Cricetulus griseus: one gene and its partners. The protein of the gene in region 1 purifies or fractionates together with the protein of each later gene. This does not show direct contact. Links are inferred from orthologs where the notes say so. Each region holds a gene or a part of one and is shown in the gene's direction. Other genes may lie near its edges. The genes, in order: Ewsr1, Ddx17 and Dhx9.

Region 1 (3,651 bases):
GTTGAAACTAAGTCTTACTATTTTATTTCTCCTTTTAGACCACAGGATGGTAACAAGCCCGCTGAGACTAGTCAACCTCAATCTAGCACGGGGGGTTATAACCAGCCCAGCCTAGGATATGGACAGAGTAACTACAGTTACCCCCAGGTACCTGGGAGCTACCCCATGCAGCCAGTCACCGCGCCTCCATCCTATCCTCCTACCAGGTCAGTCTCTCCTTTGTGGCCAGTGAGTAATATAACAAGACAGGGATTTGGTTTTGGGTTGTTGACCAGCTAGCATTGGCTTCCTTGGGTAAGATTTGTTTTCTGACTCTCCCATAGCTATTCTTGACCATATATATAGTTAATATTCAGATCTCAGTCTTAGATTTCCATAGTAGTGTCATGGAGCTGTCTAAATACTGACCAAAACTTATTTTTGCTCCTGTAATTAGAAGTATAAGAAAAAGGAGTGTTTGACACCATCTTCACAGAACCACAGAAACTGTCTTCTCAAATGCAATCACCATGGGTAAAGTAGGGACAAGACTTTCCTCCCTACCACCCATTGCAGTGCCTGGGGAATCCAGGGTTTTGTTTTGTTCATTACTAGGCAGATCCTCTACCTCTGAACTACTCCAGCTCAAGCTCTGTTGTTCTTCATATTCTGTCTTAAATTAGCCATCATAGTTACAATGTCCAATTTTGGTTTCTTTAAAATAAGGGATACTGCAGATTTTCTCATTTGAAGTAAGTACCAGTTGACAGGGTTGTGTCTTTAAAGGTTAGTTTAATTTGCTAAAATAGTTCCTGATTATCTGTTTAATGGTTTAACACATTGCTTGTAACTAGAAACAAAAGTGGTCAGGGTTGGCCTTGCGTGGGTGGCCCACACCTTTAATCCCAGCACTTGGGAGGCAGAGGCAGGCGGATCTCTGTGAGTTTTAGTCCAGCCTGGTCTACAAGAGCTAGTTCTAGGACAGCCTCCAAAGCTACAGAGAAACCCTGTCTCAAAACCAGTCCCCCCTTCCAAAAAAAAAAAAAAAAAAGTGGACAGGGAACTGTCCTTGGAGAGCAGACCCATACCTGTTGGGTTTTAACATTTGTGGAGAGGTATAACAAATAGTTTAGTTGCACATATTTATGGTTCATTGAAAGTCTTTATTTTGGTTTTTGCTTTTATTTTTTCCTAGACAGCCTTTCTCTGTGTAGCCCTGGCTCTTCTGGAATTTGCTCTGTAGATCAAGCTGGCCTTGAACTCAGAGATCCACCTGCCTCTGCCTTCTGAGTGCTGGGATTAAAGGCATGCACCCCCACCACCCAGCTAAGTTTTATTTTTAATAGTTTATGTAGATACTTAGATTACCTGCTAGATAGTTTCACAGAAACCTAGCATCTTTTATACAGCATTCTAACATTTCCTTGTCTTGTCTTATTCCTAGATTTCTAAGGATGTTTGAAAGTTTGAAACATTAGCAAAGCCATTTTGAGTCTGAAAGAAAAACTGTCATTTGGGGAGTGACATATATGTGCGCACTGTATTACCAATAGCCATGCCTCAGAAAATCAGTCATCACTTAACTTATTAGATGACTGGAGTAGAACACTTGATAGTGTGTGAAGGTCTAGTTTGGACCCTTGGTGCTGCAAAAAGAAAGGAAGACATTCTTGGAAGTAAACACCTCACTTGTCCTTTCAGTGTCATTTTTCACTGTATTAGTTGTCTCTAAGTGCACGTGTACATATTCTGTCCATCTGAATTCCTGGATTTACTTAAACATAGTTGAAAATAAACATTTTAAATGGGAGCTCTAAACTGCAGCTCTGAGTATACATGCGGGTTTTTTTTTTTTTCCTCTCTTCCATTTAAAGCTTTGTTATTATAAATACAAAAATGGTGCCTTGGCCAGATACAGTGATGTATGCCTTTAATCCAGCACTCAGGAAGCTAGGGCAAGAGAGTTGTGTGCAGATGAAAGAACAGCCTGGGCTACAAATAGTGAGACCCCTCTCAATGATAGAAAAAAGAAAGTGGCTGTTACGATACCCATGAATGTCTAGTATTTGGGGGTCTTGGGTGAAATGATGTGCTTTTTTTCCTTCTGAAAACATGTTTGTTTTTTTTCCCTTTCAGCTACTCCTCTTCACAGCCGACTAGTTACGATCAGAGCAGTTACTCTCAGCAGAACACCTATGGACAGCCGAGCAGCTATGGACAGCAGAGTAGCTATGGTCAACAAAGCAGCTATGGACAGCAGCCTCCCACTAGTTACCCCCCTCAGACTGGATCCTACAACCAGGCTCCAAGTCAATATAGTCAACAGAGCAGCAGCTACGGGCAGCAGAGTGAGTTGCTAAGAGAGATAACCAAGTATTAGTGGTTGTGCTTGGAGAGTCTGAAAACGGGGAGGGCTTGTTACCACTGTTTGCTTCCAGGATACAAGTATGAGGCATAACATCCTGGACAACAGTCTGAATGCCCCAGTAGGGGATTCAGTCAATGGGGTGGGTACTCGGCAGTGGATAGGGCTGGCATTCTTTAGGACCTATTGAGGGCTACTGTGGTTTCTGATAGCCAAGTAAAAACTCTGTGCTTTGATTTTGTGTGAATCCATTAAGCAGAGGGAGTAAGTTGTTACAGACAACTGTTTGGGGGTATTTTTAAAACTTTTACAGTTGATGGGGGTAGAACTGATTTTTGTTTTCTGCTGGGGATTGAGCCCAGGGTCTTAGCATAAGTTCTGCCATGAAGCCCCAGTGCTTATATTTACATATAAGTAAATTAGAGAAGTAACTAAAACCCCTGAAGTATATTAGTTTACTATTTAATTTCTGCCTCAATTTTTGCTTTTTGGTTGGTTGGTTTGGTTTGGTTTGGGGGGCAGGGTTTCTCTGTGTAACCCTGGCTGTCCTTTTTTATTTCATCTGTGTGCTTTTTTTTTTTTTGAACTGGAATGACTAAGGCTCCTTGCTATATCTCAGCCCTTAGCATGTCAGAGATTTAGAAAACCTGGGTCTACTTTTGTTTCTGGAAGGTAGGGCAAAGAAACTGCTTTTGGGGACATCCTGGACACACAAACTTATGAATGTATTTTTTCCAGGGCATCTTTTCCCTTTGGAAGTAGTTTATTATAGTCTGGCTATACGAGGCTGTGTTAGCCCTGATGAACCAATTGTTCTTTAAGGCAGCCTTCAGCTTAGTACATACACAGTCGCTTACAGTTGAGAACTTCATGATTCCAAGAGAAAGGATGTCAGGCAGTAGTGTAAATGTGGTCCATGGCTTACAGATGTGACTCTTTCCTCAGGTTCATTCCGACAGGACCACCCCAGTAGCATGGGTGTTTATGGGCAGGAGTCTGGAGGATTTTCCGGACCAGGAGAGAACCGGAGCATGAGTGGCCCTGATAACCGGGGCAGGGGAAGAGGGGGATTTGATCGTGGAGGCATGAGCAGAGGTGGGCGGGGAGGAGGACGCGGTGGAATGGGGTAAGAGCAAACCTTTTCTCCTTTTACCTAATTTTGCTTCATCCATAGGATTTTCAATGGGAAGAAGGGACTGAAAGACATAAGAAATTTATTCCACATTTCCATGGACAATCTGTTGAGGTCAAGCTATCTTCTAAAACATGGAAATGTCATATAAGTGGCAGTTTGCTTTTTTCCCTGC
Region 2 (3,651 bases), on another chromosome or scaffold:
GCGGTTACGTAAAAAGAAGTGGGATTTGAGTGAACTCCCCAAGTTTGAGAAGAATTTTTATGTGGAACATCCAGAAGTAGCAAGATTGACTCCGGTAAGAAGGGGGGGTGGTGAGTAGGGGTGTGTAAAGCAGCTTGTGTATTTTATTTTAGATTAGGGCAGATCTTTTTAATATGTTGTAGGTCTTTTGTTTTCTCTTTGGGGTGTGGTGTTTTTGTTTTTTGTTTGTTTTTTGTCATGTATTGTATTGGGGGGGGGCTCCTCTGTGTAACAGCCCTAGCTGTCCTGGAACTCACTTTGTAGACCAGGCTGGCCTTGTACTTAATGAGATCTTCCTGCCTCTTCCCCCCCCAAGTGCTGAGATTAAAGGTGTGCACCACCACTGCCTGGCAGTGTTGTGTTTTTTGTTTGTTATCTTGTTGCTTCTTTGAGACATGGTTTCTCTGTATAGTCACTGTTATCCTGGATGGAACAACTCACTCTGTAGGTCTCCTGCCTCTGCCTCCCAAGCCATGGGAAGAAAGGTAGTTGGTTGCCACCACCACTCGGCTCATTTTAATGTATTTTAAAGTTTTTTGTTTATGTTTTTTGTTGTTGTTTTGTTTTCTTTTTCTTTTCTTTTTTTTTTTTTTTTTTTGAGACAGGATCTTGATTTGTAGCTCTGGCCTGGAACCTACTATGTAGCCAAGCTGGCCCCAGACTCAGATCCACCTGCATCTGAATGCTGGGATTAAAAAACACCACTGTGGCTGGCTTACCTTTGGATTTTGTTTTGATTCTTATGTGCTAAAACTATTCTATTTGTGGTATGGTCTCACCATGTAGTTCTAGGCTGGCCTTTAACTTGCTATCCTGCTACTTCAGCTTATGAATGCCAGGGTTACTTTCAGGCACGGGTAGGCATACTTGGTTTGTGATATTCTTCAGTCAAACCCTGACCTTTGTTCATAAAGGCAAGTTATCAATCATTGAGCTAATTTTCTTTTAGCGGTGCTGAGCTCAAACCTAGCACCACGTGCTTGTAAAGCTTAAACTCTACCATTGAGCTACACCCTCATAAAATGAGTTTTTAAAATAAATTAACTTTGTGCTTTTAACACCTGATAGTGTATTCTACCCAGAAAATCATTGCTAGTCCAGAAAAATTATATGATGGAAAGAGCATTTGGACCCAAGTTCCACATATTCTCTTCCTAGTTTTAAGTAGAAGTTAGCTGTTTGTAGTAAACTGTCTCACTAAGTAACCCTGACTGGTCTGGAATTGTTTTGTAGATATGGTTAGCTTTGAACTTGAGCTGATCCTTCTGCTGCTGTACTGGGATTACACAGTACTACCTATCCTGGCTAGGAATTACTCTTGAGAGGTTTTTCTCCTATGGAAAATGGAGCCTTTTGCTCATGTGCATCACAAACTTGAACTTGTGTAAAAAGTATTCATATTTATCATTGTGTGATAATAAAGCTTTTAAATTGAAAAGAGCTTTTATTGTCTTTCTTCCCCCCCCCCCCCAATAGTATGAAGTTGATGAGCTGCGGCGAAAGAAAGAGATTACAGTGAGAGGGGGAGATGTTTGTCCAAAACCTGTCTTTGCCTTCCATCATGCTAATTTCCCACGTAAGTGTTCTTTAATCCTACATTAAGTGGTAGGTTGCTTGAAGGTTTTGAAAGGCTTGGGATTTTGTTGAAACACAAAAAGAAACCTTTTATAAAGGAAAGATAGTAGTAGACAGACGGTGATTGCTCACACCTTTAATTCTAGCACTTAGCAGGCAGATCTCCTGAGTTTGAGGCCAGCCTGGTCTACAGAGTGAGTTCCAGGACATCCAGGGCTACACAGAGAAACCAATGGGGTGGGGGTGGGGTGTGTGTGAATGAGAATGGCTCAATTGGTGAAAGTCCTGACTTTGGAACCCATATAAACAAGAAAGGAGAAAGCCCGCTCCACCAAGCTCTCCTCCGATCTTCACAAACTCATTCTGCAAGAACTATTGACAGCTGAGCCATCTCAGCTTTGGGCTTGTTTTGTTTTGTTTTTGAGACAGGGTTTCTCTGTGTAACAGCTCTGGCTTTGAACTCAAAAGAGATCACCTGTCTCTGCCTCCCAAATGCTGGTGTGCTTCACCACTACCCAGTTTCTGCATTTCTTTTAATGCCAATACGTACACTGGTATTTTGCCCTTGGTGTTTTACACAGCAGCCAAATACTGCTTCTATGATATAGTATGAACTTTGGGAACAGTAAGTGACTCTTGGGCCTGTGCTGTTAGCTAAATTAGGATGGTAGTTCTCAAAGGTAGTAGTGAACTGACAAGACATTGAGTTTTTGATAAATTCAAGTAAGTCTTAAATTAAGTAACTGCCACTTTTTTGGATTTCAAGACCAAAGGTATGTGTCACCACTGCTAGTCTTAACTGCTACTTTTAAGACTTCATGAGTGTCCTTAGTTTTGCTAGTAAAAGTAATAATGCATTCACTTTTTTTCAGAGTATGTGATGGATGTGCTGATGGATCAGCATTTTACAGAACCAACTCCCATTCAGTGCCAGGGATTTCCTTTGGCTCTTAGTGGCCGGGATATGGTTGGCATTGCACAGACTGGTTCTGGGAAGACATTGGCGGTAGGTACCAAGTCTTTGACATTGTAGTAACTTACTTTATTAGCCTAGTTTTCTTACATTTTCTCTGGTCCCATGTTGCCCGCCCCCATCCCCCCATAGGGTTTCACCGGGTAGCTCCAACCAGAGAACTGCCTGTCCCTACTGCCTCCCAAGGGCTGGGATTAAAGTTGTAAGCTATCATACCCAGCTCACATTTTCTCAGTTCTTAGACTCACAGTTAAAATACTGTGTGAAAGCTGGGCATGGTGGGGCACACCTTTAATGACTGTACTTGGGAGGCAGAGACAGGCAGATGGACCTTTGAGTTGGAAGCCAGTTTGATCTATGCAGTGAAGTTCCAGGGTAGCCAGAGCTACATAGTTAGACACTGTCCCAAGAAGGCCAAAAAATAAAATACTATATGTTCAGTATTTTAGCTGTATGTTTACATTGTACTTGAATGTGGTAATATGTTCTAGTTTTCTCACTTTCTATTAGGGCATTGTTAATTACTGATTTAAATTAGAATCGTTACGATAATGGCTTGGGTTTTTATGACATTTTTGATTCTTGTTCCTCCTCAGTATTTGCTGCCTGCGATTGTTCATATAAACCACCAGCCATACTTGGAAAGAGGAGATGGTCCAATTGTAAGTGTGCTACAATTTATAATTTTTAAAAATAACTACATTGAATGATAAGTTGTTTTAGGCACTGTGCCTAAAACCCAATTTAATTACTTTTTTAAAAAAAAAATTATGGAGCCGGGTGTTGGTGGTGCATGCCTTTAATCCCAGCACTTGGGAGGCAGAGGCAGGCAGATCTCTGTGAGTTCAAAGCCAGCCTGGTCTCCAGAGCAAGTGCCAGGATAGACTCCAAAGCTGCGCAGAGAAACCCTATCTTCAAAAAACAAAAAAAAAAACGTTTATGGGTGTTTTCCCCGGGGGTTGGGGAGTGTTTGGTGCCATGGAGACCAGAAGAGGGCATTTAATCCCCTGGAAGTGGAGTTACAGACAGTTGTTATATACAGTGTGGTTGTTAGGAATTGAACC
Region 3 (3,651 bases), on another chromosome or scaffold:
CAAAGGACAAGAAGAAGAAAGATAAAGAAGAGGATGGTGGTGAAGATGATGATGTAAGTCGATTCCTCAGCACATCTACAGGAATGAGGAATGTTCATTGTGAGAATATTTGGAGAAGAAAATAAGTACTTTAAAGTATAGTATTAATTGGCAATGCATTGTCCTTTAAAAATTAATTGTGATATTCTTAGGTTAATGACTATTACTACACAGGTTATATAATTTCTGGCATAAAAGTCTTAGAACGCCTTTTCTAAAGACTCAGTCCTTTGTATTGTGTTTTTGTGTATCGGAGTACTAACTTCAGGTTTTTTTTTTGGTTTTTTTTTTTGTTGTTGTTGTTTTGTTTTTTTTATCTCACTTATCTATGGCCTCCTGGTCTTTTCAGGGTACCAGTGCCTATAGCCAATGAACCTCACAGAATCTTGTCCCAACCCAATTTGCTGTTCTGGGTATTGGTTTAAGCCAGGTTTTTCCACTTGGTAGACAAGCATGTTACCATAGATGGTTTTTAGATTTATACATTTAAAAGAAAATTTACATATTTGTGATGTTTGCCAGGGAGAGAAATCAGAAGACAACTCTCAGGGAGTGTCTTCTCCATTCACACTGGGTTCTGGGGATCACATTCAAGTTGTCTAACTTGTGGCAGGTACAGTTACACTTCCTTGCCAGTTATGTTTTCGGTTGAGACAGGGTTTGACTTCCAGGAAGATTTTGAACTTGTGGTGTGGTTCTCCTTTGTACTCCCAGATACCAGTTCTGACTGATCTATATTGTGACAACCAGAAATGTAGAAGTTTGACAGGGTTTCACTGTGGCTTTGGAGCCTATCCTGGCACTCCCTCTGTAGACCAGGATGGCCTCGAATTCAAAGACATCCGCCTGCCTCTGCCTCCCGAGTGCTGGGATTAAAGGTGTGGGCCACCAACTCCTGGCCTTAGGATAAGAATTTGAATTAAGATTTTCCATATTCAAAGCTAGACTGGGTTACAAAGGGGAATATGTGAATAATTAAAACTAAGCAGGTCGGGAAGACAGTTTCTGTAGTTTTCAAAAAAAATTAGGAAACTAATTAGAAGCATCACAGAATCATACTTAAAAGTTTTAAAGGCATAAATGGCTCATACTTTTAATCTCAGGGGGTGAAAAGGTAGACCGGTCTATATTCATGGATATCAGTCTTTTTCTGAAGATTTGCTTCCAGAGACACAGGAGCTAGAGCTCAAATTACAGATGGTTATAAGCTACCTGATGTGGGTGATAAATGAACTTGGGTACTTGCATGCCCGAAATTGTTTTGTCAGACTCTGTTTTTAGAGACAGGGTTTCTCTGTACCAGCCCTGGCTGAAATTCACTACCATAGATCAGCCTGACCTTGAACACAGATCCACATGTCTGTTCTGCCAGGCTTTCTTTTGGAAGACAACCAGCTCCCAAACCATGATGTGGAGACTTAGTAAATATTAGTTAGGAATGTTTGTCTTTACCTCCTGTTTGTTTCTTACTAACTCTTAGATCTGTTTGTCTTATGCTTTCATTGGGCCTTTTTACATTTCCTTTCCTTTTCTATGTCCTATTCAGTCTGAATGGCTGGCTGACATTAGGTGTTCTCTCTTGTGCAATTTCTCCTCCTCTTCAGATTCCTATTTATTATCTTGCCTGCCTAGCTATTGGCCATTCAGTTTTTTAATTAGACCAATCAGGTGCCTTCAGGAGGCAAGGAGAGACAGTGTCATTAAATGTAACATACCTTTACACAGTTAAAGTAATATTCTACTTTATGTATTGATCTCTTAATGAAAGTATGACTCTACCCTAGAGATAAGCAATATTGCTAGATATTACTTGCCTAGAAAAACTAAGTCTAAGAGATTAGAGCTATAATAATTATGGCAAATAAACTGCTTTCCCCTTTCTTGCAGGCAAATTGCAATCTAATATGTGCTGATGAATATGGGCCAGAAACAAAGTTGAGCATGTCCCAATTGAATGAAAAGGAAACTCCTTTTGAACTCATTGAAGCTCTCCTTAAGTACATCGAAACCCTTAATGTTCCTGGAGCTGTGTTGGTCTTTTTGCCTGGCTGGAATTTGATTTATACTATGCAAAAACATTTGGAAAACAATTCACATTTTGGTATGATGATGAATATTTTTACTTTTTTCCTGGCTAATATGTTGCTGTGTTTCAATGAGTATGTGTAATGGAGAACAGTATTTTAACTTGGTCTTACTTCTTATCCTTTCTGTATTGTAGGAAGTCATCGGTATCAGATTCTACCTCTGCATTCTCAGATTCCTCGGGAGGAACAGCGTAAAGTGTTTGATCCAGTACCAGATGGAGTAACCAAGGTAAAGAAGGCGTTTCAATGAGATCAGATAAACATTCAGAGAGCTAGAATATATATAATATATATATATATATATATATATATATATAATATATATATCACTTTCTTAGCTTGAGAGACTTTTCTTTTTACTCCTGTTCCTGAAATGCCTTGTATTGTGTGGTTGAATGATTCTCTGAACATTGGTGTGTTCATAAGTGGCATGTTTTCTGTGGTGTAATTTTTCTTTTAATTTTTCTTTTTGCAGGTTATTTTGTCCACAAATATTGCTGAAACAAGCATCACCATAAATGATGTTGTTTATGTTATTGACTCCTGCAAGTAAGTTCCTAGGGAATTAGTCTTTTGAGTGTATTAGCAGCTGACAAACTTTATCAATTAACCTTTTGTTAAATTTTCTTTTTAATGAGGTTTTATGTGTGTCAAGTGTTATGTCTGTACTAGTTGTGTGCCTGGTAGCCTTGGAGGCTAGAAGAGTGTATAAGGTACCAAAGAATTGGGATTGCAGATGTGTGAGCTGCCCTGTGGTGCTGAGAACTGGTCCTCAGGTCTTCTATAATACATACCCCCACTGACCAGCCCCTAATTGTGTTTCTCTTAAGGCTATTTGACTGTAGTCCAGGATCACCTCTGACTTGAGGTTTTTCTTATTCAAGTACTGGGGTTACTGTACTGCAGCTTCCGCCATCACACCTAGACTTTAACTTACCAAGGTTTACGCTTTTATACCCACACAAATGCCATGTGTGATTTCAGAGTACAGACAGCCAAAGTTTATCACTAACTTCTGACTTCATGTCAAAGGATTTACTTATTTATTCATTAGTTGTTTCCACAATGAACCTTTTATGCTCATTTTGTATATAAATACAGCAATTACTTAGCATGAGACAAGTAGTCTACTCGAAAAACATTCCTTTAAGAAGTTAGAACACTGCAGCCTGGTATTAACGGCATCTGTCAATCTTGCTTAAATAGTGCAACCCAGCCTCAAAAACTAAAAACTTATACCTATAATTGAGCCTTGGTCTATAGGTAGAGCCCAGCAATTTTGTAGAGGGCTGTAAAGAAAGCCTGCTTAGAGCTGGCTGTTAGTATTTAGGCATTTGTACTGACCTGTCATTGGAGTTCTGACAAGATACACCCTCAGTGGATGATGCTAAGAACATCACCTGTGCCTATTCGATATGTCCCCTCTTATTAAAATGGCCCTCCCCATCTCCCACTCTCTCTTTCTCCCCCACCTCTTTTTACTCTCTCCCACTGCAACAGTCCCTGAAGGTGAGTCTCTTCCTTC

What was found.
Region 2: the proteins of Ewsr1 (region 1) and Ddx17 purify together in Homo sapiens (affinity purification with mass spectrometry; 3 studies listed by BioGRID, with this or other methods). This does not show direct contact. The link is inferred for Cricetulus griseus from reciprocal best matches to the Homo sapiens genes EWSR1 and DDX17.
Region 3: the proteins of Ewsr1 (region 1) and Dhx9 purify together in Homo sapiens (affinity purification with mass spectrometry; 3 studies listed by BioGRID, with this or other methods). This does not show direct contact. The link is inferred for Cricetulus griseus from reciprocal best matches to the Homo sapiens genes EWSR1 and DHX9.

The regions. Positions count from the first base shown.
Region 1 is NW_023276807.1:99,813,159-99,816,809, forward strand, and holds part of Ewsr1 (RNA-binding protein EWS), read left to right. Parts: intron 1-38; coding exon 39-206; intron 207-2,115; coding exon 2,116-2,327; intron 2,328-3,289; coding exon 3,290-3,470; intron 3,471-3,651. UniProt on the Homo sapiens protein: Binds to ssRNA containing the consensus sequence 5'-AGGUAA-3'. Might normally function as a transcriptional repressor. EWS-fusion-proteins (EFPS) may play a role in the tumorigenic process.
Region 2 is NC_048595.1:376,711,572-376,715,222, reverse strand, and holds part of Ddx17 (probable ATP-dependent RNA helicase DDX17), read left to right. Parts: coding exon 1-94; intron 95-1,515; coding exon 1,516-1,615; intron 1,616-2,486; coding exon 2,487-2,620; intron 2,621-3,183; coding exon 3,184-3,249; intron 3,250-3,651. UniProt on the Homo sapiens protein: As an RNA helicase, unwinds RNA and alters RNA structures through ATP binding and hydrolysis.
Region 3 is NC_048598.1:38,204,678-38,208,328, forward strand, and holds part of Dhx9 (ATP-dependent RNA helicase A), read left to right. Parts: coding exon 1-53; intron 54-1,926; coding exon 1,927-2,140; intron 2,141-2,260; coding exon 2,261-2,355; intron 2,356-2,601; coding exon 2,602-2,675; intron 2,676-3,651. UniProt on the Homo sapiens protein: Multifunctional ATP-dependent nucleic acid helicase that unwinds DNA and RNA in a 3' to 5' direction and that plays important roles in many processes, such as DNA replication, transcriptional activation, post-transcriptional RNA regulation, mRNA translation and RNA-mediated gene silencing.